Stegostoma tigrinum: one gene and its partner. The protein of the gene in region 1 purifies or fractionates together with the protein of each later gene. This does not show direct contact. Links are inferred from orthologs where the notes say so. Each region holds a gene or a part of one and is shown on either strand. Other genes may lie near its edges. The genes, in order: rexo4 and rrs1.

What was found.
Region 2: the proteins of rexo4 (region 1) and rrs1 purify together in Homo sapiens (co-immunoprecipitation; 3 studies listed by BioGRID and IntAct, with this or other methods). This does not show direct contact. The link is inferred for Stegostoma tigrinum from reciprocal best matches to the Homo sapiens genes REXO4 and RRS1.

The regions. Positions count from the first base shown.
Region 1 is NC_081382.1:43,858,657-43,872,976, forward strand, and holds the start of rexo4 (RNA exonuclease 4), read right to left. Parts: upstream 5,974-14,320; 5' UTR 5,918-5,973; intron 5,870-5,917; exon of another isoform or gene 5,822-5,869; intron 3,541-5,821; exon of another isoform or gene 3,504-3,540; intron 198-3,503; exon of another isoform or gene 160-197; intron 1-159.
Region 2 is NC_081358.1:31,719,143-31,733,397, reverse strand, and holds rrs1 (ribosome biogenesis regulatory protein homolog), read left to right. Parts: upstream 1-6,390; 5' UTR 6,391-6,486; coding exon 6,487-7,476; 3' UTR 7,477-9,003; downstream 9,004-14,255. Other genes in the region: adhfe1 (hydroxyacid-oxoacid transhydrogenase, mitochondrial), read left to right, coding at 13,548-13,600. UniProt on the Homo sapiens protein: Involved in ribosomal large subunit assembly. May regulate the localization of the 5S RNP/5S ribonucleoprotein particle to the nucleolus.

The DNA of each region.
Region 1 (14,320 bases):
AACCCACAGCTGCAGGTCGGTCCTGCTGCTGCAATTGCTAAAGCAGCACAATTGGGAGACGCCACGTTCACCTGCACCACCTTCAACTTACTCAGACTGAGAGTTCCAGAGGTTCCCTGGGACCTGGGGGAACGTATTCCGTGCTCCCTCAGCACTGACCCTCCGACAGTGCCCGCTCCCTCAGCACTGACCCTCCGACAGTGCCCGCTCCCTCAGCACTGACCCTCCGACAGTACCCGCTCCCTCAGCACTGACCCTCCGACAGCCCGCTCCCTCAGCACTGACCCTCCGACAGCGCCCGCTCCCTCAGCACTGACCCTCCGACAGCGCCCGCTCCCTCAGCACTGACCCTCCGACAGTGCCCGCTCGCTCAGCACTGACCCTCCGACAGTGCCCGCTCCCTCAGCACTGACCCTCCGACAGCGCCCGCTACCTCAGCACTGACCCTCCGACAGCGCCCGCTCCCTCAGCACTGACCCTCCGACAGCGCCCGCTCCCTCAGCACTGGCCCTCCGACAGTACCTCCTCCCTCAGCACTGACCATCCAATAGTGCCCGCTCCCCCAGCACTGACCCTCCGACAGTGCCCGCTCCCTCAGCACTGACCCTCCAACAATGCGGCGCTCCCTCAGCACTGACCCTCCGACAGTGCCCGGTCCCTCAGCACTGACTGTCCGACAGTGCCCAGTCACTCAGTACTGACCCTCCGACAGTGCGGCAGGCCCTCAGCACTGACCATCCGACAGTGCCCAGTCACTCAGCACTGCCCCTCCCACACTACCTCATCCCTCAGCACTGACCATCCAATAGTGCCCGCTCCCTCAGCACTGACCCTCCGACAGCACCTGCTCCCTCAGCAGTGACCCTCCGATAGTGCGGCACTTCCTCAGCACTGACCCTCCAATAGTGCCCGCTCCCCCAGCACTGACCCTCCGACAGTGCCCGCTCCCCCAGAACTGACCCTCCGACAGTGCCCGCTCCCTCAGCACTGACCCTCCGACAGTGCTGCGCTCCCTCACCACTGACCCTCCGACAGTGAGGCACTCCCTCAGCACTGACTCTCTGACAGTGCCCGCTCCCTCAGCACTGACCCTCCGACAGTGCGGCGCTCCCTCAGCACTGACCCTTCGACAGCGCCCGCTCCCTCAGCACTGACCCTCAGACAGCGCCCACTTCCTCAGCATTGACCCTCCGACAGCAACCGCTCCCTCAGCACTGACCCTCCGACAGCGCCCGCTCCCCCAGCACTGACCCTCCGACAGTGCCCACTCCCTCAGCACTCACCCTCCGACAGTGAGGCACTCCCTCACTACTGACCCTCCGACAGTGCCCACTCCCTCACCACTGACCACCCGACAGCGCCCACTCCCTCAGCACTGACCCTCCAACAGTGCCCACCCCCGCAGTACTGACCCTCCGACAGTGCGGCAGTCCCTCAGCACTGACCGTCCGACAGTGCCCAGTCACTCAGCACTGACCCTCCACACTACCTCCTCCCTCAGGACTGACCATCCAATAGTGCCCGCTCCCTCAGCACTGACCCTCCGACAGCCCATGCTCCCTCAGCACTGACCCTCCGACAGTGCGGCACTTCCTCAGCACTGACCATCCGATAGTGCCCGCTCCCCCAGCACTGACCCTCCGACAGTGCCCGCTCCCTCAGCACTGACCCTCCAACAGTGCGGTGCTCCCTCAGCACTGACCCTCCGACAGTGAGGCACGCCCTCACTACTGACCTTCCGACAGTGCCCACTCCCTCTGCACAGACCCTCCGACGGTGCCCGCTCCCCCAGCACTGACCCTCCGACAGTGCCCGCTCCCCCAGCACTGACCCTCCGACAGTGCCCGCTCCCTCAGCACTGACCCTCCGACAGTGAGGCACGCCCTCACTACTGACCCTCCGACAGTGCCCACTCCCACTGCACAGACCCTCCGACGGTGCCCGGTCCCCCAGCACTGACCCTCCGACAGTGCCCACTCCCCCAGCACTGACCCTCCGACAGTGCCCGCTCCCTCAGCACTGACCTCCAACAGTGCGCTGCTCCCTCAGCACTGGCCCTCCGACAGTGAGGCACTCCCTCACTACTGCCCCTCGACAGTGCCCACTTCCTCAGCACTGACCCTCCGACAGCACCCGCTCCCTCAGCACTGACCCTCCGACAGTACCCGCTCCCTCAGCACTCACCCTCCAACAATGCCCACTCCCTCAGTACTGACCCTCCGACAGTGCGGCGCTCCCTCAGCACTGACCCTGCGACAGTGAGGCAGTCCCTCAGCACTGACCGTCCGACAGTGCCCAGTCACTCAGCACTGACCCTCCCACAGTACCTCCTCCCTCAGCACTGACCATCCAACGGTGCCCGCTCCCCAGCACTGACCCTCCAACAATGCGGCGCTCCCTCAGCACTGACCCTCCGACAGTGCCCACTCCCTCAGCACTGACCCTCCGACAGCGCCCACTCCCTCAGCACTGACCCTCCGACAGCGCCCACTCCCTCAGCACTAACCCTCCGACAGTGCGGCACTTCCTCAGCACTGACCCTCCGACAGCGCCCGCTCCCTCAACACTGACCCTCCGACAGCGCCCGCTCCCTCAGCACTGACCATCCATTAGTGCCCGCTCGCCCAGCACTGACCCTCCGACAGTGCCCGCTCCCTCAGCACTGAAACTCCGACAGTGAGGCACGCCCTCACTACTGACCCTCCAACAGTGCCCACTCCCTCACGACTGATGCTCCGACAGCCCCCAGTCCCTCAGAACTGACCCTCCGACAGCGCCCACTCCCTCAGCAATGAGCCTCCGACAGTGCCCGCTCCCTCAGCACTGACCCTCCGATAGTGCGGCACTCCATCAGCACTCACCCTCCGACAGTGAGGCACTCCCTCACTACTGACCCTCCGACAGTGCCCACTACCTCACCACTGACCACCCGACAGCGCCCACTCTCTCAGCACTGACCCTCCGACAGTGCGGCGCTCCCTCAGCACTCACCCTCCGACAGTGAGGCACTCCCTCACTACTGACCCTCCGACAGTGCCCACTCCCTCACCACTGACCACCCGACAGCGCCCATTCCCTCAGCACTGACCCTCCAACAGTGCCCACTCCCTCAGTACTGACCCTCCGACAGCGCCCGCTCCCTCAGCACTGACCGTCCGACAGTGCCCAGTCACTCAGCACTGACCCTCCACACTACCTCCTCGCTCAGCACTGACCATCCAATAGTGCCCGCTCCCTCAGCACTGACACTCCGACAGCGCCCGCTCCCTCAGCACTGACACTCCGACAGCGCCCGCTCCCTCAGCACTGACCCTCCGACAGCGCCCGCTCCCTCACTACTGACCCTCCGACAGTGCCCACTCCCTCACCACTGACCACCCGACAGCGCCCATTCCCTCAGCACTGACACTCCGACAGCGCCCGCTCCCTCAGCACTGACCCTCCGACAGCGCCCGCTCCCTCAGCACTGACCCTCAGACAGTGCCCGCTCCCTCAGCACTGACCCTCCGACAGCGCCCACTTCCTCAGCACTGACCCTCCGACAGCCCCCGCTCCCTCAGCACTGACCCTCCGACAGTGCCCGCTCCCTCAGCACTGACCCTCCGACAGCACCCACTTCCTCAGCACTGACCCTCCGACAGCACCCGCTCCCTCAGCACTGACCCTCCGACAGCGCCCGCTCCCTCAGCACTGACCCTCCGACAGTGCCCACTCCCTCAGCACTGACCCTCCGACAGTGCGGCACTTCCTCAGCACTGACACTCCAATAGTACCCGCTCCCCCAGCACTGACACTCCGACAGTGCCCGCTCCCTCAGCACTGACCCTCCAACAGTGCGGTGCTCCCTCAGCACTGACCCTCCGACAGTGAGGCATGCCCTCACTACTGACCCTCCGACAGTGCACACTCCCACTGCACAGACCCTCCGACAGTGCCCGCTCCCCAAGCACCGACCCTCCAACAGTGCCCACTCCCTCAGCACTGACTCTCCAACAGTGCCCACTTCCTCAGCACTGACCCTCCGACAGCACCCGCTCCCTCAGCACTGACCCTCCGACAGTACCCGCTCCCTCAGCACTGACCCTCCGACAGCGCCCGCTCCCTCAGCACTGACCCTCCGACAGTACCCGCTCCCTCAGCACTCACCCTCCAACAATGCCCACTCCCTCAGTACTGACCCTCCGACAGTGCGGTGCTCCCTCAGCACTGACCCTCCGACAGTGAGGCACGCCCTCACGACTGACCTTCCGACAGTGCCCACTCCCTCTGCACAGACCCACCGACGGTGCCCGCTCCCCCAGCACTGACCCTCTGACAGTGCCCGCTCCCTCAGCGCTGACCCTCCAAAGGTGCCCGCTCCCAAAGCACTGACCCTCCGACAGTGCCCGATCCCTCGGCACTGACCCTCCGACAGTGCCCGCTCCCTCAGCACTGACCCTCAGACAGCGCCCACTTCCTCAGCACTGACCCTCCGACAGCACCCGCTCCCTCAGCACTGACCCTCCGACAGCGCCCGCTCCCTCACCACTGACCCTCCGACAGTGCCCGCTCCCTCAGCACTGACCCTCCGACAGCACCCGCTCCCTCAGCACTGACCCTCAGACAGTGCCCACTTCCTCAGCACTGACCCTCCGACAGCACCCGTTCCCTCAGCACTGACCCTCCGACAGCGCCCGCTCCCACAGCACTGACCCTCCGACAGCGCCCGCTCCCTCAGCACTGACCCTCAGACAGTGCAGCACTCCCTCAGCACTGACCCTCCGACAGCGCCCGCTCCCTCAGCACTGACCCTCCGACAGCGCCCACTCCCTCAGCACTAACCCTCAAACAGTGCCTGCTCCCTCAGCACTGACCCTCCGACAGTGCCCGCTACCTCAGCACTAACCCTCCGACAGCGCCCGCTCCCACAGCACTGACCCTCCGACAGCGCCCACTCCCTCAGCACTAACCCTCAAACAGTGCCCGCTCCCTCAGCACTGACCCTCAGACAGTGCAGCACTCCCTCAGCACTGACCCTCCTACAGTGCCCTCTCCCTCAGCACTGACCATCCAATAGTGCCCGCTCCCCCAGCACTGACCCTCCGACAGTGCCCGCTCCCTCAGCACTGACCCTCCAATAGTGCCTGCTCCCCCAGCTCTGACCCTCCGACAGTGCCCACTCCCTCAGCACTGACCCTCCAACAGTGCAGCACTCCCTCAGCACTGACCCTCCGACAGTGAGGCACGCCCTCACTACTGACTCTCCGACAGTGCCCACTCCCTCACTACTGACGCTCCGACAGCCCCCAGTCCCTCAGAACTGACCCTCCGACAGTGCCCACTCCCTCAGCAATGAGCCTCCGATAGCGCGGTACTTCCTCAGCACTGACCCTCCGACAGCGCCCGCTCCCTCAGCACTGACCATCCAATAGTGCCTGCTCCCCCAGCAATGACCCTCCGACAGTGCCCTCTCCCTCAGCACTGACCATCCAATAGTGCCTGCTCCCTCAGCACTGACCCTCCGACAGCGCCCGCTCCCTCAGCACTGACCCTCCGACAGCGCCCGCTCCCTCAGCACTGACCCTCAGACAGTGCAGCACTCCCTCAGCACTGACCCTCCGACAGTGCCCGCTCCCTCAGCACTGACCCTCCGACAGTGCGGCACTTCCTCAGCACTGACCCTCCAACAGTGCCCACTCCCTCAGTACTGACCCTCCGACAGTGCGGCGCTCCCTCAGCACTGACCCTGCGACAGTGAGGCAGTCCCTCAGCACTGACCGTTCGACTGTGCCCAGTCACTCAGCACTGGCCCTCCGACAGCGTCCGTGCCCTCAGCACTGACCCTCCGACAGTGCCCGCTCCCTCAGCACTGACCCTCCGACAGCGCCCACTTCCTCAGCACTGACCCTCCGACAGCGCCCGCTCCCTCACCACTGACCCTCCGACAGTGCCCGCTCCCTCAGCACTGACCCTCCGACAGCGCCCACTCCCTCAGCACTAACCTTCAAACAGTGCCCGCTCCCTCAGCACTGACCCTCCGACAGCGCCCACTCCCTCAGCACTAACCTTCAAACAGTGCCCGCTCCCTCAGCACTGACCCTCAGACAGTGCAGCACTCCCTCAGCACTGACCCTCCTACAGTGCCCTCTCCCTCAGCACTGACCCTCCTACAGTGCCCTCTCCCTCAGCACTGACCATCCAATAGTGCCCGCTCCCCCAGCACTGACCCTCCGACAGTGCCCGCTCCCTCAGCACTGACCATCCAATAGTGCCTGCTCCCCCAGCACTGACCCTCCGACAGTGCGGCGCTCCCTCACTACTGACCCTCCGACAGTGCCCACTCCCTCACTACTGACGCTCCGACGGCCCCCAGTCCCTCAGAACTGACCCTCCGACAGTGCCCACTCCCTCAGCAATGAGCCTCCGATAGCCCGGTACTTCCTCAGCACTGACCCTCCGACAGCGCCCGCTACCTCAGCACTAACCCTCCGACAGCGCCCGCTCCCTCAGCACTGACCCTCCGACAGCGCCCACTCCCTCAGCACTAACCCTCAAACAGTGCCCGCTCCCTCAGCACTGACCCTCAGACAGTGCAGCACTCCCTCAGCACTGACCCTCCTACAGTGCCCTCTCCCTCAGCACTGACCATCCAATAGTGCCCGCTCCCCCAGCACTGACCCTCCGACAGCGCCCGCTCCCTCAGCACTGACCCTCCGACAGTGCCTGCTCCCTCCGCACTGACCCTCCGACAGTGCCCGCTCCCTCCGCACTGACCCTCCGACAGCGCCCGCTCCCTCAGCACTGACCCTCAGACAGCGCCCACTTCCTCAGCACTGACCCTCCGACAGCACCCGCTCCCTCAGCACTGACCCTCCGACAGCGCCCGCTCCCTCACCACTGACCCTCCGACAGTGCCCGCTCCCTCAGCACTGACCCTCCGACAGCGCCCTCTCCCTCAGCACTGACCCTCCGACAGCACCCGCTCCCTCAGCACTGACCCTCCGACAGCGCCCGCTCCCTCAGCACTGACCCTCAGACAGTGCAGCACTCCCTCAGCACTGACCCTCCGATAGTGCGGCACTCCCTCAGCACTGACCCTCCGACAGTGCCCACTCCCTCAGCAATGAGCCTCCGATAGCGCGGTACTTCCTCAGCACTGACCCTCCGACAGCGCCCGCTCCCTCAGCACTGACCCTCCGACAGTGCCCGCTCCCTCCGCACTGACCGTCCGACAGTGCCCGCTCCCTCAGCACTGACCCTCCGACAGCGCCCGCTCCCTCAGCACTGACCCTCCGACAGCGCCCGCTCCCTCAGCACTGACCCTCAGACAGCGCCCACTTCCTCAGCACTGACCCTCCGACAGCACCCGCTCCCTCAGCACTGACCCTCCAACAGCGCCCGCTCCCTCAGCACTGACCCTCAGACAGTGCAGCACTCCCTCAGCACTGACCCTCCGACAGTGCCCGCTCCCTCAGCACTGACCCTCCGACAGTGCGGCACTTCCTCAGCACTGACCCTCCAACAGTGCCCACTCCCTCAGTACTGACCCTCCGACAGTGCGGCGCTCCCTCAGCACTGACCCTGCGACAGTGAGGCAGTCCCTCAGCACTGACCGTCCGACTGTGCCCAGTCACTCAGCACTGACCCTCCGACAGCGTCCGTGCCCTCAGCACTGACCCTCCGACAGTGCCCGCTCCCTCAGCACTGACCCTCCGACTGCGCCCGCACCCTCAGCACTGACCCTCCGACAGTGCCTGCTCCCTCAGCACTGACCCTCCGACAGTGCCCGCTACCTCAGCACTAACCCTCCGACAGCGCCCGCTCCCTCAGCACTGACCCTCCGACAGCGCCCACTCCCTCAGCACTAACCTTCAAACAGTGCCCGCTCCCTCAGCACTGACCCTCCTACAGTGCCCTCTCCCTCAGCACTGACCATCCAATAGTGCCCGCTCCCCCAGCACTGACCCTCCGACAGTGCCCGCTCCCTCAGCACTGACCATCCAATAGTGCCTGCTCCCCCAGCACTGACCCTCCGACAGTGCGGCGCTCCCTCACTACTGACCCTCCGACAGTGCCCGCTCCCTCAGCACTGACCCTCCGACAGTGCCCACTCCCTCAGCAATGAGCCTCCGATAGCCCGGTACTTCCTCAGCACTGACCCTCCGACAGCGCCCGCTCCCTCAGCACTGACCCTCCGACAGTGCCCGCTCCCTCAGCACTGACCCTCCGACAGTGCGGCACTTCCTCAGCACTGACCCTCCAACAGTGCCCACTCCCTCAGCACTGACCCTCAGACAGTGCAGCACTCCCTCAGCACTGACCCTCCGACAGTGCCCGCTCCCTCAGCACTGACCCTCCGACAGTGCGGCACTTCCTCAGCACTGACCCTCCAACAGTGCCCACTCCCTCAGTACTGACCCTCCGACAGTGCGGCGCTCCCTCAGCACTGACCCTGCGACAGTGAGGCAGTCCCTCAGCACTGACCGTCCGACTGTGCCCAGTCACTCAGCACTGACCCTCCGACAGCGTCCGTGCCCTCAGCACTGACCCTCCGACAGTGCCCGCTCCCTCAGCACTGACCCTCCGACTGCGTCCGCACCCTCAGCACTGACCCACCGACAGTGAGGCACTCCCTCACTACTGACCCTCCGACAGCCCCCACTCCCTCACTACTGACCCACCGACAGTGCCCACTCCCTCAGCACTAACCCTCCGACAGTGCCCACTCCCACAGCACTGACCCTCCAAAGGTGCCTGCTCCCAAAGCACTGACCCTCCGACAGTGCCCAATCCCTCAGCACTGACCCTCCGACAGTGCCCGCTCTCCCAGCACTGAACCTCCGACAGTGCCCTCTCCCTCAGCACTGAACCTCCAACAGTGCGGCGCTCCCTCAGCACTGACCCTCCGACAGTGATGCACGCCCTCACTACTGACCCTCCAACAGTGCCCACTCCCTCACTGCTGACGCTCCGACAGCCCCCAGTCCCTCAGAACTGACCCTCCGACAGCGCCCACTCCCTCAGCAATGAGCCACCGATAGTGCGGTACTTCCTCAGCACTGACCCTCCGACAGCGCCCGCTCCCTCAACACTGACCCGCCGACAGCGCCCGCTCCCTCAGCACTGACCCTTCGACAGTGCAAACTCCCTCAGCACTGACCCTGCGACAGCGCCCACTCCCTCAGCACTGACCCTCCGACAGTGCCCGCACCCTCAGCACTGAACCTCCGACAGCGCCCACTCCCTCAGCACTGACCCTCCGACAGTGCCCGCACCCTCAGCACTGACCCTCCGACAGTGCCCGCACCCTCAGCACTGACCCTCCGACAGTGTCCGCTCCCGCAGCACTGACCCTCAGACAGCGCCCTCTTCCTCAGCACTGACCCTCCGACAGCAACCGCACCCTCAGCACTGACCCTCCGACAGCGCCTGCTCCCTCAGCACTGACCCTCCGACAGTGCCCCCTCCCTCAGCACTAACCCGCCAACAGTGCCCCCTCCCTCACACTGACCCTCCGACAGTGCCCCCTCCCTCAGCACTGACCCTCCGACAGTGCCCGCTCCCTCAGCACTGACCCTCCGACAGCGCCCGCTCCCTCAGCACTGACCCTCCGACAGCGCCCGCTCCCTTAGCACTGACCCTCAGACAGCGCCCACTTCCGCAGCACTGACCCTCCGACAGCGCCCGCTCCCTCAGCACTGACCCTCCGACAGTGCCCGCTCCCTCCGCACTGACCCTCCGACAGTGCCCGCTCCCTCCGCACTGACCCTCCGACAGCGCCCGCTCCCTCAGCACTGACCCTCCGACAGTGCGGCACTTCCTCAGCACTGACCCTCCAACAGTGCCCACTCCCTCAGTACTGACCCTCCGACAGTGCGGCGCTCCCTCAGCACTGACCCTGCGACAGTGAGGCAGTCCCTCAGCACTGACCGTCCGACTGTGCCCAGTCACTCAGCACTGACCCTTCGACAGCGTCCGTGCCCTCAGCACTGACCCTCCGACAGTGCCCGCTCCCTCAGCACTGACCCTCCGACAGTGCCTGCTCCCTCAGCACTGACCCACCGACAGTGAGGCACTCCCTCACTACTGACCCTCCGACAGCCCCCACTCCCTCACTACTGACCCACCGACAGCGCCCACTCCCTCAGCACTAACCCTCCGACAGTGCCCACTCCCACAGCACTGAACCTCCGACAGTGCCCTCTCCCTCAGCACTGACCCTCCGACAGTGCGGCGCTCCCTCAGCACTGACCCTCCGACAGTGAGGCACGCCCTCACTACTGACCCTCCAACAGTGCCCACTCCCTCACTGCTGACGCTCCGACAGCCCCCAGTCCCTCAGCACTGGCCCTCCGACAGCGCCCGCTCCCACAGCACTGACCCTTCGATAGTGCCCACTCACTCAGCACTGACCCTCCGACAGTGCGGCACTTCCTCAGCACTGACCCTCCAACAGTGCACACTCCCTCAGTACTGACCCTCCGACAGTGCGGCGCTCCCTCAGCACTGACCCTCCGACAGTGAGGCAGTCCCTCAGCACTGACCGTCCGACTGTGCCCAGTCACTCAGCACTGACCCTCCGACAGCGCCCGCTCCCTGAGCACTGACCCTCCGACAGCGCCCGCTCCCTCAGCACTGACCCTCAGACAGCGCCCACTTCCTCAGCACTGACCCTCCGACAGCACCCACTCCCTCAGCACTGACCCTCCGACAGCGCCCGCTCCCTCAGCACTGACCCTCAGACAGTGCAGCACTCCCTCAGCACTGACCCTCCGATAGTGCGGCACTCCCTCAGCACTGATCCTCCGACATCGCCCACTCCCTCAGCACTAACCCTCAAACAGTGCCCGCTCCCTCAGCACTGACCCTCCGACAGTGCCCTCTCCCTCAGCACTGACCATCCAATATTCCCCTCTCCCCCAGCACTGACCCTCCGACAGTGCCCGCTCCCTCAGCACTGACCCTCCGACAGTGCCCTCTCCCTCAGCACTGACCATCCAATAGTGCCTGCTCCCCCAGCAATGACCCTCCGACAGTGCCCTCTCCCTCAGCACTGACCATCCAATAGTGCCTGCTCCCTCAGCACTGACCCTCCGACAGCGCCCGCTCCCTCAGCACTGACCCTCCGACAGCGCCCGCTCCCTCAGCACTGACCCTCAGACAGTGCAGCACTCCCTCAGCACTGACCCTCCGACAGTGCCCGCTCCCTCAGCACTGACCCTCCGACAGTGCGGCACTTCCTCAGCACTGACCCTCCAACAGTGCCCACTCCCTCAGTACTGACCCTCCGACAGTGCGGCGCTCCCTCAGCACTGACCCTGCGACAGTGAGGCAGTCCCTCAGCACTGACCGTTCGACTGTGCCCAGTCACTCAGCACTGGCCCTCCGACAGCGTCCGTGCCCTCAGCACTGACCCTCCGACAGTGCCCGCTCCCTCAGCACTGACCCTCCGACAGCGCCCACTTCCTCAGCACTGACCCTCCGACAGCGCCCGCTCCCTCACCACTGACCCTCCGACAGTGCCCGCTCCCTCAGCACTGACCCTCCGACAGCGCCCACTCCCTCAGCACTAACCTTCAAACAGTGCCAGCTCCCTCAGCACTGACCCTCCGACAGCGCCCACTCCCTCAGCACTAACCTTCAAACAGTGCCCGCTCCCTCAGCACTGACCCTCAGACAGTGCAGCACTCCCTCAGCACTGACCCTCCTACAGTGCCCTCTCCCTCAGCACTGACCCTCCTACAGTGCCCTCTCCCTCAGCACTGACCATCCAATAGTGCCCGCTCCCCCAGCACTGACCCTCCGACAGTGCCCGCTCCCTCAGCACTGACCATCCAATAGTGCCTGCTCCCCCAGCACTGACCCTCCGACAGTGCGGCGCTCCCTCACTACTGACCCTCCGACAGTGCCCACTCCCTCACTACTGACGCTCCGACGGCCCCCAGTCCCTCAGAACTGACCCTCCGACAGTGCCCACTCCCTCAGCAATGAGCCTCCGATAGCCCGGTACTTCCTCAGCACTGACCCTCCGACAGCGCCCGCTACCTCAGCACTAACCCTCCGACAGCGCCCGCTCCCTCAGCACTGACCCTCCGACAGCGCCCACTCCCTCAGCACTAACCCTCAAACAGTGCCCGCTCCCTCAGCACTGACCCTCAGACAGTGCAGCACTCCCTCAGCACTGACCCTCCTACAGTGCCCTCTCCCTCAGCACTGACCATCCAATAGTGCCCGCTCCCCCAGCACTGACCCTCCGACAGCGCCCGCTCCCTCAGCACTGACCCTCCGACAGTGCCTGCTCCCTCCGCACTGACCCTCCGACAGTGCCCGCTCCCTCCGCACTGACCCTCCGACAGCGCCCGCTCCCTCAGCACTGACCCTCAGACAGCGCCCACTTCCTCAGCACTGACCCTCCGACAGCACCCGCTCCCTCAGCACTGACCCTCCGACAGCGCCCGCTCCCTCACCACTGACCCTCCGACAGTGCCCGCTCCCTCAGCACTGACCCTCCGACAGCGCCCTCTCCCTCAGCACTGACCCTCCGACAGCACCCGCTCCCTCAGCACTGACCCTCAGACAGCGCCCACTTCCTCAGCACTGACCCTCCGACAGCACCCGTTCCCTCAGCACTGACCCTCCGACAGCGCCCGCTCCCTCAGCACTGACCCTCAGACAGTGCAGCACTCCCTCAGCACTGACCCTCCGATAGTGCGGCACTCCCTCAGCACTGACCCTCCGACAGTGCCCACTCCCTCAGCAATGAGCCTCCGATAGCGCGGTACTTCCTCAGCACTGACCCTCCGACAGCGCCCGCTCCCTCAGCACTGACCCTCCGACAGTGCCCGCTCCCTCCGCACTGACCGTCCGACAGTGCCCGCTCCCTCAGCACTGACCCTCCGACAGCGCCCGCTCCCTCAGCACTGACCCTCCGACAGCGCCCGCTCCCTCAGCACTGACCCTCAGACAGCGCCCACTTCCTCAGCACTGACCCTCCGACAGCACCCGCTCCCTCAGCACTGACCCTCCAACAGCGCCCGCTCCCTCAGCACTGACCCTCAGACAGTGCAGCACTCCCTCAGCACTGACCCTCCGACAGTGCCCGCTCCCTCAGCACTGACCCTCCGACAGTGCGGCACTTCCTCAGCACTGACCCTCCAACAGTGCCCACTCCCTCAGTACTGACCCTCCGACAGTGCGGCGCTCCCTCAGCACTGACCCTGCGACAGTGAGGCAGTCCCTCAGCACTGACCGTCCGACTGTGCCCAGTCACTCAGCACTGACCCTCCGACAGCGTCCGTGCCCTCAGCACTGACCCTCCGACAGTGCCCGCTCCCTCAGCACTGACCCTCCGACTGCGCCCGCACCCTCAGCACTGACCCTCCGACAGTGCCTGCTCCCTCAGCACTGACCCTCCGACAGTGCCCGCTACCTCAGCACTAACCCTCCGACAGCGCCCGCTCCCTCAGCACTAACCTTCAAACAGTGCCCGCTCCCTCAGCACTGACCCTCAGACAGTGCAGCACTCCCTCAGCACTGACCCTCCTACAGTGCCCTCTCCCTCAGCACTGACCCTCCTACAGTGCCCTCTCCCTCAGCACTGACCATCCAATAGTGCCCGCTCCCCCAGCACTGACCCTCCGACAGTGCCCGCTCCCTCAGCACTGACCATCCAATAGTGCCTGCTCCCCCAGCACTGACCCTCCGACAGTGCGGCGCTCCCTCACTACTGACCCTCCGACAGTGCCCGCTCCCTCAGCACTGACCCTCCGACAGTGCCCACTCCCTCAGCAATGAGCCTCCGATAGCCCGGTACTTCCTCAGCACTGACCCTCCGACAGCGCCCGCTCCCTCAGCACTGACCCTCCGACAGTGCCCGCTCCCTCAGCACTGACCCTCCGACAGTGCGGCACTTCCTCAGCACTGACCCTCCAACAGTGCCCGCTCCCTCAGCACTGACCCTCAGACAGTGCAGCACTCCCTCAGCACTGACCCTCCGACAGTGCCCGCTCCCTCAGCACTGACCCTCCGACAGTGCGGCACTTCCTCAGCACTGACCCTCCAACAGTGCCCACTCCCTCAGTACTGACCCTCCGACAGTGCGGCGCTCCCTCAGCACTGACCCTGCGACAGTGAGGCAGTCCCTCAGCACTGACCGTCCGACTGTGCCCAGTCACTCAGCACTGACCCTCCGACAGCGTCCGTGCCCTCAGCACTGACCCTCCGACAGTGCCCGCTCCCTCAGCACTGACCCTCCGACTGCGTCCGCACCCTCAGCACTGACCCACCGACAGTGAGGCACTCCCTCACTACTGACCCTCCGACAGCCCCCACTCCCTCACTA
Region 2 (14,255 bases), on another chromosome or scaffold:
TACAAGACCATCCAAGTGCTTCAACCACCCAGGTGAGGTCTTTTCACAGTGTCCTAGGAGTAACATTCTCAATCACCCTGTCCACAAATTCCTGTTCCATATAGGGCTTGCTATGGACATTTCCCATCCCTGGCTTATTTCCTTGCCTTCACCCCTCGAATGGGGTGCATTCAGACTGGTGTCACTAAAGTAGGACTTTCCTTTTTCCTCCTTCAATACAGAAATGTTATCATCCAACAATCTGCGGTGCAGTACTGCAATTTCCCTTTATCTGGGGACCAGGTGTTTGAAAGGCAAAGGCAGCCTGAAACAAAAAATGTTCCTCATGATGTTGTCAGCCCTTTGCAGCACCTAGATGAACCAACAGCACGGGGCGGGGGTGGGGTGGGGGGGTCCACGATTAAAGTGGGCGTTGCATTTATTGGGATAACAAGGTTTGTCCATGAACATGATGTGCTGCCCAGCTCAGTTCCAACTAGCACGGGAAGATCACAAATAACAAGTGACATTGGCAATTCTGTCAGCCCTATCCCAATTCTAAGGTGATTTAACAGTGGCAAGTTTGAAAGCACGTAAAGTAACCCGTTCTCAAGGGGTGGGTTTGTGATTTTCTAATTTGAAGTGGAGCTCCATTCCTTCGGCAGCCATTTGATTATAACACTGGTTGTTCAGGTTTCCAAGCATTCAGGAACTTCTCAGATAAAGGGCAGGAGGGCTGCCGGATCTAAAAGCTTATGGTTTATATCACACTCATGGCAGCGCCAGGCAGAACAAGAACGCCACAGCCCCTCAAACAAAACTTCTGCTGTACTGAACAAACTGTCACCTCCTCCCCACACTCCAGTAACACCACATATCCCAGTCACCCCTCCTTCTCAATTCAAAACTCACCGTATGTCAGAGCATCTCCACCCACCCGCAGAGTTTCTCAGTCCCCAGCCTACTCCTGGATTTCCTGCCCAGCAGCTGGCTAATCTGGCAGGCAATGAAGTATAAAGCTAATAATATAGTGGTGCCGCTAAATTTGGCAGAACACAAGAACATAGAACAGTGCAGACCAAAAGAATTGCAGATGCTGTAAATCAGAAACAAAAACAGGATCCATATCCCTCTATTTCCTTTCTATTCATGTATTGGTCCAGCTTCTTGAATGATGCTATTGTATCCCTATTTCTACCACCTCCTCTGGCAGTGCGTTTCAGGCACTCACCACCCTTTGTGTGAAAAACTTGCCTTGCATATCTCTTTTAAACTTCGCACCCCACTCCACACCTTGAACCTGTGTCCCCTAGTAATTAACCCCTCCACCCCTCATAGTTTCCACTCTGTCCATGCCATTCACAATTTTTATAAACTCCAACAGGTCGTACTACAACATGCTGTGTTCCAGTGAAAACAAACCCGGTCTATCCAACCCTTCTTCATAGCTAAATCTCCCTTACCAGGCAACATTCTGGTAAAACTTTACTGTACCCTCTCCAAAGTTTCACATCTTCCCGGTCATGCAGTGACCAGACTATATGCAAAATTCCAAGTGTGGCCTAACTAAAGTTATGTAAAACTGCAGCATAACTTGTCTATCCTCACACTCAACACCCCTTCCATTGAAAACAAGCATGCCATAGGCCCTTATTTATTACCTTCAGTGATCTGTGGACCTACACACCCAAATCCCTCTGCGTATCAATACTCCTAAGGGTTCTGCCATTCACTGTTTAATTTCCACCTGTACTCGACCTTCCAAAATGCATCACATCACATTTGTCCAGATTAAACTCCATCGGCCATTTTTCTGTCCGCACCCCCAACTCGTCCATAAACTGCTGTATCCTCCGACAACCTTCTTCACAATCCGCAACTTCACTAATGTTTGTACAATCTGCAAACTTACTAATTAGACCAGCTACATTTTCCTCCGAATCATTTATGTAGATCACAAACAGCAGAAGTCCCAGCACTGATCCCTGTGGAACATCACTGGTCACAACTCTCCATTCCGAAAAGCATCCTTCCACAGCTACCTGCTTCCGTGTGTTCACAGTATTTCCAGGCCTCCCCCAGCTCTCTTTCCACATCAGCTACCAGCTGGTGCCCAGATTCCCTCCTTGAAACTATCCATTGATTCGAAAAACCAAAGGTTTATCTCCACCATTTGTTGGCAAAGTGCAACTGCATCATAGATATCACGAACATTTATAATCAACATAGACTGGCGCACATCAGTCTCCTTGTAGCTTCAAAACTGCAATACGGTTTCGAAACTGATTTCATTTAATGATTGCTGGCCAGTATTTCTCATTCTTGCTGCCATGTTTCAACTTTTAAAAGCAGTGGTATCAGAGACATCCTGAACCAAACATTTTGCATTATTTATTACCACAATAACATAACAAACAGAGATTATCACTTGGAGTGCATTAATTGAATCTGTGATGCATCAATTATAAGATTTTTAAAAAGCCTCTTCTTCATAGTGGCATTGATTTAGTAAGTTTTTCAGAGAGGTCAACATTGAAGATATCACTACAATAATATTGGTATAATTTTTTTAAAAATAGGAGGACTTTGGAAAAGCCCATTAATGGGAGGGATGTTTCTGATAACTTGTGACTTTCTTCAAAATTTTTCTTAATTCTTATGTTTTTCTAAATATATTTTCAGTAATCCCTTCCCTGTAGCAAAGTTGGCCATGCAGCTAGTTTGCAATAGAGTGACACCATCAGCATGGATTCAGTTCCTACATTGGCTGAGGTTACCATGAAGAACTCGCATTCTCAGTTTCTCCTCTCCCATGGGGTGTGGTGTCCCTCAGGTTAAACTGCTACCAATCACCTCTCTCTTTCTTAGATAACAAGGTGTGGAGCTGGATGAACACAGCAGGCCAAGCAGCATCTTAGGAGCACAAAAGCTGATGTTTCGGGCCTAGACCCTTCATCAGAAAAGGGGGATGGGAAGAGGATTCTGAAATAAATAGGGAGAGAGGGGGAGGCGGACCTCCCTGTTTATTTCAGAATTCTCTCCCCATCCCCCTTTTCTGATGAAGGGTCTAGGCACAAAACGTCAGCTTCTGTGCTCCTAAGATGCTGCTTGGCCTGCTGTGTTCATCCAGCTCCACACCTTGTTATCTCAGATTCTCCAGCATCTGCAGTTCCCATTATCTCTGATACAGTTTGGAATTAGATACCTGTTCCTTCAGTATTGTTGAATTAAACCTCCTTCCCAACTGAGGGAGTACATACAATAAATAAACTGCAGCAGTTCAATAATGAGGTTCATTACCAACGTGTCAGGGACAAGTCGGGATGGACAACAAAGCTGCACTTTCATCCCTTGACAGTAAAATAAACAACTCAATTTCCCTTAGCAAATAAAATAACACCGAGAAAAACAAAACTTTAACTGTGAGTGAGTGTGTGAATCCTGAGATTGGGAATGAGCTAAACAGATAGGCATGTTCAGAAGCCCCCTACTACATGCCTCCTATTATTGTCTGTACATGTGGCTAGTTTCAACCTAAAATGATAAAATATTTATTGCTTACAGCTAATTAATTTTTATGGATGTTTTCTGTAAATTTCAAAGGTCCAGGTTCAAAACAGTGGAGGCTTTCTTTCCATAATAATTAACAATCTTGTTGTATATTACAATCTGGCAAAGTAGTGTTTGCAAAGTGTGTCATACTGAACTGTGAGCTATCTGGGATTTACGAATAGATGGTGGTTTGTCAGGGTTCATGATCACAGTTACTCACTGTAGGCTGTGGATGATTTCGAGCAATTTTCTAATTGTTTATTGAAGTAACAGCAGTTTACAGATAGTACAATATGGGTGTGTGTGCCTTGGGGAGGAGGCGTTTAAGAATGTTTTGGTGGGGGGGTAGGTGGAGGGTAGGAGATGAATGTGGGAAGGGGAAGGGGTTGTGCGGGGTGGGAGGGTGGATGGAGGTGGGGAATGGGTTGTAAACCAAGGGAAGTACGCGGAGGTGGTTGGTGTGGGGTGCTTTGGGGTGTGTCAGGGTAGGTGCTGGGGTATATGAGGGTAAGTTGGAAGGGTGGACAGGGGGTGTGTGGGGGGGGAGGGGGATTGTGAGGCAGATGGGGTGTGTCAGGGTGGGTTCAGTGGGGTGGTGTGGAGGTGGGGTCTATGAGGGGGATCCGTGTGGGGGGAGGGCGGTTGTGTGCAGGGGTGTGGGTGGATTCTATGTGGGAGGATGGGGTGTATGTGGGGGAGGTGGAGTGCATGAGGGTGGGGGGGGGTTGGGGATGTGTGAGGACATAGATTGTGTCAAAGGAAGAGATAGGTGTGTGCGGAGTGGATGTTGTGCATGTATGAGGCAATGGGTGTGGGGTTGTGTGCGGGGAGGGTTGGTGTGGGACTGTGTGCGGGGGAGGGGATGTAGAGGTGTATGTGTGGGGGGTGGATGTGGGGCTATATGGAGGGCAGAGGTTGTAGGGCGGTATGGGGAGCGGGGGGTGTTGGTTGAGTTGTGGGGCTGTGTGGAGACGTGTGAGGGGGTGAGAAGATGTGTTCGGGGAGGGGTTGTGGGTGGGGGATGGGTGTGAGGCTGTGTGTGTGTGTGTGTGTGTGTGTGTATGTGTGTGGATGTGGGTATGCGGGGATTTGTGTAGGTAAGGGTGTGTATGGGGGGTGTATGGGGGTTGTGTGAGGGAGTATGGGGAGAGTGTGTTCGTTGATAGGGGGATGTGGGGGTTGTCTGATGGGGTATGTGTATGTGGGGGGACGGGGTGCGGGCAGGGTGTGTGTGTGGGTGGGGAGATGTGGGAGGTATGTCTGTGGAGGGGTCTGTGTATGTGGGGGGAGGGGTGTGGGGAAGTTGTGTGAGGGGATGTGGGGAGGGTGTGTGAGGGGGTGTGGGGAAGGTGTGTCTGGGAGGTATGGGTGTGTATGTGGGGGGAGGGTGTGTGAGGGGGTGTGGGGAAGGTGTGTGGGTGAGGGTGTGTGTATGTGCGGGGAGAGTGTGTGAGGGGGTGTGGGGAGGTGTGGGTAAGTGTGGGAGTGTATGTGGGGTGAGGGTGGGTGAGGGGGTGTGTGGGTGTGTATGTGAGGGGGGAGTGTGTTGGGGGGGTGTGGGTGTGTATGTGGGGTGAGGGTGGGTGAGGGGGTGTGTGGGTGAGGGTGTGTATGTGGGGGGGAGGGTGGGTGAGGAGGTGTGTTGGGGGAGGGTGTGTGGGGGGTGTGTGTGAGGGGGTGTGGGCAAGGGGGGTGTATGTGAGGGGGTGTGGGTGAGGGGGGTGTGGGTGAGGGGGTGTGGGTGAGGGGGAGGGTGTGTGGGGGGGTGTGGGTGTGGGGGAGGGTGTGTGAGGGGGGTGTGGGTGTGGGGGAGGGTGTGGGTGTGGGGGAGGGTGTGTGAGGGGGGTGTGGGGGTGGTGGGGAGGGTGTGTGAGGGGGTATGTGGGTGAGGGTGTGTGTGTCAGAGGGGGGGTGTGGGTGGGGGGGAGGGTGTGTGAGGGGGGTGTGGATGGGTAGAGGGTGTTTGAGGGGGGTGTGGGTAGGGGGGAGGGTGTGGGAGGGGGGGTGTCGGAGGGGGGGTGTGGATGGGGGGGAGGGTGTGGGAGGGGGGGTGTGGGTAGGGGTGAGGGTGTGGGAGGGGGTTGTCGGTGGGGGGGAGGGTGTGTGAGGGGGGTGTGGGTGGGGGGAGGATGTGTGAGGGGGGTGTGGGTAGGGGGGAGGGTGTGGGAGGGGGGTGTGGGTAGGAGGGAGGGTGTGGGGGGTGTCAGGGGGGGGTGTGGGTGGGGGGGAGGGTGTGTGAGGGAGGTGTGGGTGGGTGGAGGGTGTGTGAGGGGGGTGTGGGTAGGGGGGAGGGTGTGGGAGGGGGTGTCGGAGGGGGGGTTTGGGTGGGAAGGAGGGTGTGTGAGGGGGGTGTGGGTAGGGGGGAGGGTGTGGGAGCGGGGTGTCGGAGGGGGGGTGTGGGTGGGGGGGAGGGTGTGTGAGGGGGGTGTGGGGAGGATGTGTGGGGAGGATGTGTGAGGGGGGTGTGGGTAGGGGGGAGGGTGTGGGAGGGGTGTGTGGGTAGGAGGGAGGGTGTGGGGGGGTGTCGGAGGGGGGGTGTGGGTGGGGGGAGGGCGTGTGAGGGGGGTGTGGGTAGGGGGGAGGGTGTGGGAGGGGGGGTGTGGGTGGGGGGGGTGTGTGTGGGGGGGGTGTGAGTAGAGGGGGAGGGTGTGGAGGGGGGTGTCGGAGGGGGGGGTGTGGGTGGGAGGGAGGGTGTGTGTGGGGGGGGGGGTGTGTGAGGGGGGTGTGGGTAGGGGGGAAGGTGTGGGAGGGGGGGGTGTGGGTGGGGGGGGGGGTGTGTGTGGGGGGGGGTGCGTGGGGGGTGTGAAGAGGATAGGGGTGGGGCGTCTATGTGACGTATTTGTGGGCGGGGTTGATGGTTCCCGCCTGCTGCTGCTCCGGCTGTTGGAGATCACGTGGCGAGCGGTCGCAGATAGTGACGCCAATGAGCAGAGGCGGAAGTGACGGAAGGCGAAGATGGCGGTGGCGGTGGAAGAGCTGGTGGCCGAGGCCGAGCGCTTGATCCGGGTGGACCGGCCTCTGGAGTTGGAGCTGGACCTGGGCAACCTGACGGCGCTGGATGCCAACCCGCTCAATTCGAGCTTGTGCCGGCAGGAGGCCGAGGCTTGGCTGCGCTCCCTTGCCCGGGACAACACGCAGCTGCTGCTTAACGCCGTCTGGCAGCTGCCGAGCGAGAAGCTCCAGGAGGGGATCGTGGCCTTGCTGCCCCCGCCCAGTACCCTCATCCCCCGGGAAAAAGCGGTGCCCAAACCCCGGCCGCCTACCCGCTGGGAGCAGTTCGCCAAACTGAAGGGCATCCGGAAGAAAAAGAAGAGCAACTTGGTGTGGGACGAGAGCAGGAAAGAGTGGCGCCGCCGCTGGGGCTATCAGAGAGCCAACGATGAGACCAAAGAGTGGGTCCTGGAAGTACCCGAGTCCGCTGACCCCAGTGAGGATCAGTTCGCCAAACGTGTCGCGGCTAAGAAAGAGCGAGTGGCCAAGAACGAGCTGAACAGGCTGCGGAACATCGCCAGGGCTCAGAAGCACAAGGTGCCCGGTGTCGGTCTGGCCCCCACCCAGCAACAGAGCAAAGCCGAGCTCAGCAAAGCCATTCGCGTGGCGAGAACCTCCACCGCTTCGGTTGGCAAGTTTCAGGACAAGCTCCCCAAGGAACAGGAGGCGAGGAACACCGGCAAGAGGAGGAAGTTCCAGCCCATCGTCGGAGACTTCTCGGCGGAGAAGCAGAAGCAGCTAGACCTTCTCAATGTTATGTCCAGCAAGAAACCCAAACTGGATCTCACGAAGGCTGTCAATAGACAACTTCGAGAAGACGATCAGGAGCAGGCGGCAAAACGAAAGAAAATGCGGCCTAAGGGCAGGAAAGGAGGGAAAAATCACAATCGAAATAATAGGGGAAAAGGTCAGCATCGGAAATCGGGGATGAAGCAGCAAGGAAAGAGAAAATGAGCCATATTGAACTGTTGTTAAATACGGTGCTCCTTGATTTTAAAGAACATTCTAGTTTTGAGAGGGCCTACCTTTGTTTCTTTATTAATTGTGGCCTGATAATTTCTTGCGTTCTGACAGTTTTTTTGTTTTTCATGAACTTAAAATAAAGTGTTTTGTATTTCTTTTGCTATGTGCATCTGAGTGACTATATGTGATGGGACTTGTGCAGAGAGAGCTTAAATTGTACCTGTGGCCAATTGTTTGTATGGCAGAAAGTTCATTACCAGAATTGTCTAGCCAGCAATCCTGTTGACCACTTTGAAAGGGGATTCATTGAAATTATTTTATGTTGTAAGACACTGCATTATGATTAGCAACACAACTAAATGTTGTTAATCTTTTGGAACAGTAGAGTATGTAAGGAAAGCACCAAACCTTTCAATGTGAGTTGGCAGCTCAGTTCCAGTGTGGAGTGGCCTTTTGTCCTCAGGTTAATTATGTCTATGGTTATTTGAAAATACTTGTAGATGACAACTTTAACTCTCCTCAAAGTAAAGGAGCAAATTACTACAGATGTTGGAATCTGTAACTGGAAACAATAAAATGTTGGAGATCATGGTGGGTCAGGCAGCATCCATGGAGACAGAGCAAGTTAGCATTTCAAATCCAGAGCCTCAAAATAGTCTCTCTCTCTGGAAATCCAGTCCATGAGTTTATAGGTTATGATTTCTATCTCCAACAAATAGAAAGGAAGAACTTGTATTTCTATAGTGCCTGCATATATCATCGGATCAAAACCAGTATATTATTTTTTTAAAAACTGTGAATGCTGTAAATTAGAAACCAAAGCAAAAATTGGTGGAAAAGCTCAGTTGGTCTGTCAACACCTATGGCGAGAAATTGGTGTTAACATTTGGGTCCTTTGATACTTCCTCAGAACTCCAGGACCAAAAGGTTAACACTGATTTCACAAGTTCTGCTAGACCTACTGAGCTTTTCCAGCATTTTCTGTTTTTGACAGTATTTAAGAAATTGTCTTCACCAGTACTGACTGTAGACTGTCGTGTACTCTAAAGGTATTCCTGTTACTAAACTTGACTATAGCGTATCAACTGTTTTTGTAAAGTTGTTTTATTTATCGCTGTAGTACCTCATTTGGAGTTTGGGATTTTTGTTTTACACAAATTGCTTGTGTAGCTGAGTATGCAAATAATATATTCACTGTAAAACCCCTTATAATGCCAAAGGATAATGAGGCAAGTCTTGAAATTTTCAGTTCACTTTTCAGTTCACTTTTCAATTCAGTTACTCCTGAATTGTATCCTTTGGTTGTCAAACATATTTATAAAGCATGAATTGCAGTCTGGGGTTAAAATATTTTGAAGCGCAGCAAGTTTTTCTTTTCTATAAATTATACCATGTGGAAAATTAAGAACTATAGGTAATGTAAACTGACAAAATGCCGGAATACTGTTTCAAAATTAACAGCACACCAGAAGAAAGGTAGCGATGTCCACGTAATTAAAACAGTTCTGTTTAATTTCACACCTGACTCCCTGGTTTACATCTTTTCAATTTTCTGACATTTTGCTTGTTAACCATTTACACAAACTTTTTTCCTCAATGGGATTATAAGCAGGTGAAAGAGCAGACCATTTGAGCCGGCATGGAAAATGAGTATAATCTTCAGAGCTCAATGACAGGGAAGTTTGGTGAATGGGAAAGGAAATGTTTGTTATGGGCCCTTTCCATGCAGTAACGATGGGGTCTCGCTGCACTACAGGGAGAAACGTTGGTTAGTTTCTGGTAAACAGTTGAGATCCACTGTTTTCTTAAAATTTAACATAGCATACAAATTGTCGGTAAGTTAAAATATGTAACGCATCAAATTAATAAAGTGGTTAATTAAATAATTAAAACCCATTAGGAATGATAGGACAAGTGATGTGTGAAAACTACAGTACGTGGGAGTTCCTGGATACCCTTGTGATCTAGGGCATTTGACTTATTGTCACATGTATCAAGATTTGGTGAAAAGTGTTGTTTTGTGTGCTAACCAGACAAATCATAAGTACATCAGGGAAACAGAATTGAATGCAGAGTATAATAGTATAGCTGCAGACAAGGATCAACAGTAATGTATGAGACGTCCATCCATAGTTTGAGCAACTATAGCTGAGATTTTGGACACTAAAGCAGGAAGGGGGAAGGTACCTTGATTCTTTTTCTCAGGAAGCAGTCATGCCATTTGTGATGGGGTCTTCTGACTTGGGAAATGGCCAGGGAGTTGACTCTGAGTGAGGCAGGTAAGAAAACCCAGCATAGGCGTTCAGGAGTGTCAATCTCTGAAAGTATCCATTAGAATCAGCTAGTTTGGCTAACCAACAGAAAGCAGACGATCAAGATAAATTGGTTTTTTCTAATTGGCAAGAGGTAACTAGTGAGTGCCACAGAGTTCGGTCCCCGGGTTCCAACTATTCACAATCAATATTAATAAATTGGATGTGGGGATAGAAAGTAAGATAACCAAATCTGCAGACGACACAAATTGGTGGGAAAGCAAGTTGCAATGTGGGGCAATATAGAATGAGAGGTCATTGTTTTAGGATAAGGGATAACAGTTTGAAAACAGCAATAACTTCTCTCGGAGGGTCATTAATCTGGAATTTGCTCCCAAGAGTGCAGTGGATGCTGAAACATTGAGGAAATTTGAGGAATTAGTAGATTTTTTTGTTAACATTGGGTTGAAGGGTTACAGACAGCAGGCAGGAATCTGGAGTTGAGGCTGAGATGAGATCAGCCATGATCGTATCACATGGTGGAGCAGGCTCAATGGGCTGAATTGCCTTCTCCTGATCGTAGGTCTTGTGTTCTTATGTTCTCTGTAGAGATTACTAAGGCTAGGCACCAGATTTAAAAATCATGACCCCAAAGGTTACAAACTCTGGATTATTAAATGGGCTGTGTGCAAATTGGTATATGGTACATACAATTAGAGAGATGAATATATAGCTCAAAGACTTACGTGGGAGAAGTGCATTCTGGTTCATGGTTCATTGACACTAGTACTGGGGCGAATGCGCACTGTATCATTGGAATGGCCTATACAGGAATTGTACTCTGACCATTCCAAATAACAGAAAGGGTTTTAAACAAAATTATTGGGGTTATGGGATAAAATTTGGTGGGATGTGGTATATCAAATAGTAAAGGCAAGACAAGAAAGGGAAATAGTAATGTGGGAAATGAGGATCAGAGAATGGCAAGAAGGGATTGAGAGAAAAGAAAGGAATATGCCAACAATCAAGATTTTAAAAATGGTAGCAAAGACAAAACTAAAATTTCCAATTCAATGTATATAGCGTTCCTAACAAAGTAAATACATTTATTGTGCTTGTTGAAGTAAAAACCAATGAATTGCTGGCTAAAAAAGCGATGTAGCTGCAGAATGACCAGGCTTGTATCTTGAATATTAACATTCAAGAAGATTAGGATGCAGACAGTAACTGGTTTGCAAATAGGTTCTCTTCTTGAGTCTGTTCACAAGCTGATTTGTGTGCATGTCAGAACACAATGCAGAACAATATAAAATAGGTGTTCATAAGTCAAAGGAAGTGTTGGTATGACAGATCTTTAAAATTAATACAACCCTGTATGAGATTGCATTCGTAAATCGAGGATCACCTGTATTAGGTAAAGGTGGAGGGGTAGCTCTGTTAACCAATAATGATATCTGTGCAGGAATAAGAGATTACTTGATTTAGGAAATTAGGACATAGAATCTCTTTGGGTGGACATACAGAATAGTAGGAGAAGGAAGTCACCAGTGGGGTTGGTCAACAACCCACCATCCCCTGATGATAACCACAGTGTAGAACAAAGCACGCAAAAAGAAATGTTGGGAGATTATGGTAAGGGGATGACAATAATATTGGGTGAGTTTAGACATAAACAGGAAAAAATCAGATTGGTAATAGTAGCTTGGATGATGAGTCCATAAACATAATCTTGAAATCATTCTAAAGCAATGTTTCTCAACCAGCAGGATGTGTCCTACCTGTAGTCATATCTTTATGAACGAGTCTTCCCTGTAATGACAACTATTAGAACCATCTTCAATTTGAAACAGCTCTTTGCTGTTTCAAACATTAAACTGCTCATGTGACGCCCTTTTCAAAAAGGGAGGGAGGCAAAAGGTGGGTAATTATAGGCTGATTAACCTAATATCGATTGCTGGAAAAGTATTGGATTCTATTATTGAGGAAGCAATAGCAGAACATTAGGAAAATCAATTCAATCAGACAGAGTCAGCACAGCTTCATAAAAGGGAGATCATGCCTGTTAAATATACTTGAGTTTTTTGAGGAAGTCTCAAACAGAATGGACTTCCAGAAGGCCTCTGACACCTCACAAAAGGTAAATCATAAGAGCCCCTTGTATTAGAGGTTGTATATTGACATTGATAGGGAATTGGCTCATAGGCAGGAAACAGTGAGAAAGAGTAAGGGGTTCTGGTGACCTGTTAACAGTGGGGATCGACAAGGATCAGTCCTGGAACTGTAACTGCATACAATATGTATCAAAGCCTTGGAGGAAGAAAGTGAATGTACTGTAGCCAATTTCGCAGATGATACTAAAATAGGTGGAAAAGCGGACCACAAGAAGGATACAAACAGTTTACAGAAAGATGCTGACAAGTGAAGTAAGTAAGCAAAATTTTGGCAAATAGAATGAGAAGTAGTTCATTTTGGAAGGGAGAACAGAAGAACAGAATATTGTTTAAATGGAGAAAAACTGCAGAAAGTTGAAACGCAAAAGGGACTCAAGGGGATTTGAGCACAAAACACAGCTAGCACACAGGTGCAGCAGGGAATCTGGAAGTCTAATAGAATGTTGGCCCTTATTTTAAGGGTTTGGAGTAAAAGAGTAGGAAAGGCTTATGAGACCATATCTGGAGTACTGTGAGCAGTTTTGGTCCCTTATTTCAGAAAATATCGTTTCATTGGAGGCAGTTCAGAGAAGGTTCACTAGTCTGATTCGAGATATGGAAGAATCGTCTTGAGCAAATGTTGAACAGGTTGGGGCTCTACTCTCTGGAGTTTAGAAGAACGAGATGATCTCATTGAACCATTTAGGATTCTTAAGGGGCTTGAAAGAGTAAATGCAGAGAGGTTGTTACCCCTCATGGCAGAGTCCAGGACAGAAAGCATAGTCCCAGAATAAAGAAGTGTCAATTTAAGAATATAATGGGGAGGGATTTCTTCTCGAAGAGGGTTGTGAGTCTTTGAACTCATTGCTGTAGAGAGATGTGGGAGCAGGGTTGTTCTGTATAGTTAAGCCTAAGATCAATTCTTGATCAGTCCAGGAATCAAGGGTATGGAGAAAATGCAGAAAGGTGGATGTGAGGAAGGTGGATCAGCCATGATCCTATTGAATGATGGAACAGGCTCAAGAGGCCGAACAACCTGCTCCTGTTCCTATTTCTCACGGTCTTCGTGGCCAAGAATTGACAATCTTGCCAATGAAATGTAACCACAAGCATCATCATTTCATTTCGTTTGGTTTTTGCAATTAAGCAATAGAACATATTCTCAGAAAAACCATTGCAATTTTTTAATGTCTTTAAAATTTTTCGATTAATCGTTAAAACTAAAATGCAAAGAAGTGCACGAAAATGTGAAAACCTCTCAAAGTGCCTGATATAGCCAAGCCAAGTGGTGCGGTCGAGGCAAACAAAAACAGAAATTGCTGGAGGAACTCGGGAGGTCTGACAGCATCCGTGGAGAGAGAAGCAGTACTCAAGAACTGGAAAGGTTTACTTTGTACAGACGCTGCCGGGCCTGTTGAGTTTGACCAGCAATTTCAGTTTGTGTTTGTTTCAGATCTCCCGCATCAGCTGCTGTTTGTTTTATTTAAGTCGAGTGGGCTCCTGCTTTAAAATTCTGTGCTTTTGGTTTGTTCTGCGCTTTTCTGGATACCAATAAACGTTGCTGGACTTAAAAAAGAAACGCAACAACAGGAATGAGGAAATGTCTATTTTGTGGGAAATTTAGTGTTCCCATCCCAGAGTTCTCCACTGTCTGAGAGACATGGCAGGTCGAGACAGAGTTACCCAGTTGTTGAAGCAGCTGCAACGGGCGTCGTAAGTGAGCAAATCAAAAGGAAATAACAGTTTCTCTTTAGTAGAATGTCAGTGCAGCCGATCTTTCCGTTGTTTAGATGCATTTGCCAATAGCATTGAGCCTGTTGGCCGATCAGTGTCTTGAGTGTCAGTCGGTCTCTATGGAACAGGGGCGCCACTGAATTCGGAATCAGTTCGGAACAGACCGAGCCCTTAGCCGGTGCTGGCTAGCAACAAGGCCAGCAAATTATATCTGTCGGTGCTCAAGGACGCCGCCGGCTTGGCAATGTTCTCCAGCAATATTCCCTGTGACTGCAGTCACTCATCATGATCCACACTTGCATCGTTTGCTGGAAATCCTTATTAAATAGCTGCAACACCTCTGTTACTCTCTCACTCCGGGCCTGATTTATTCTGTACATCAGTGAACCCAGCGTGCTTTCTGGCTGTCAAATTCAACGGTGAATTATCGTACCCAAAAAACCCCTAAAAACAGCAATTTTAAACCGTGAATGAAAGCTTATAATTAGCAATTGAAATGCCATTAGTGAAATGTCACAAACAGGTTGGAGTAGGATTTTACAATTTCACGGTATTTATCCATGGGATGTATCGGGTGTTGGCAGAAGTTTCATTTCTTGCCAATCCCTTACTGCCCTCCAGCACTTGGCAATGA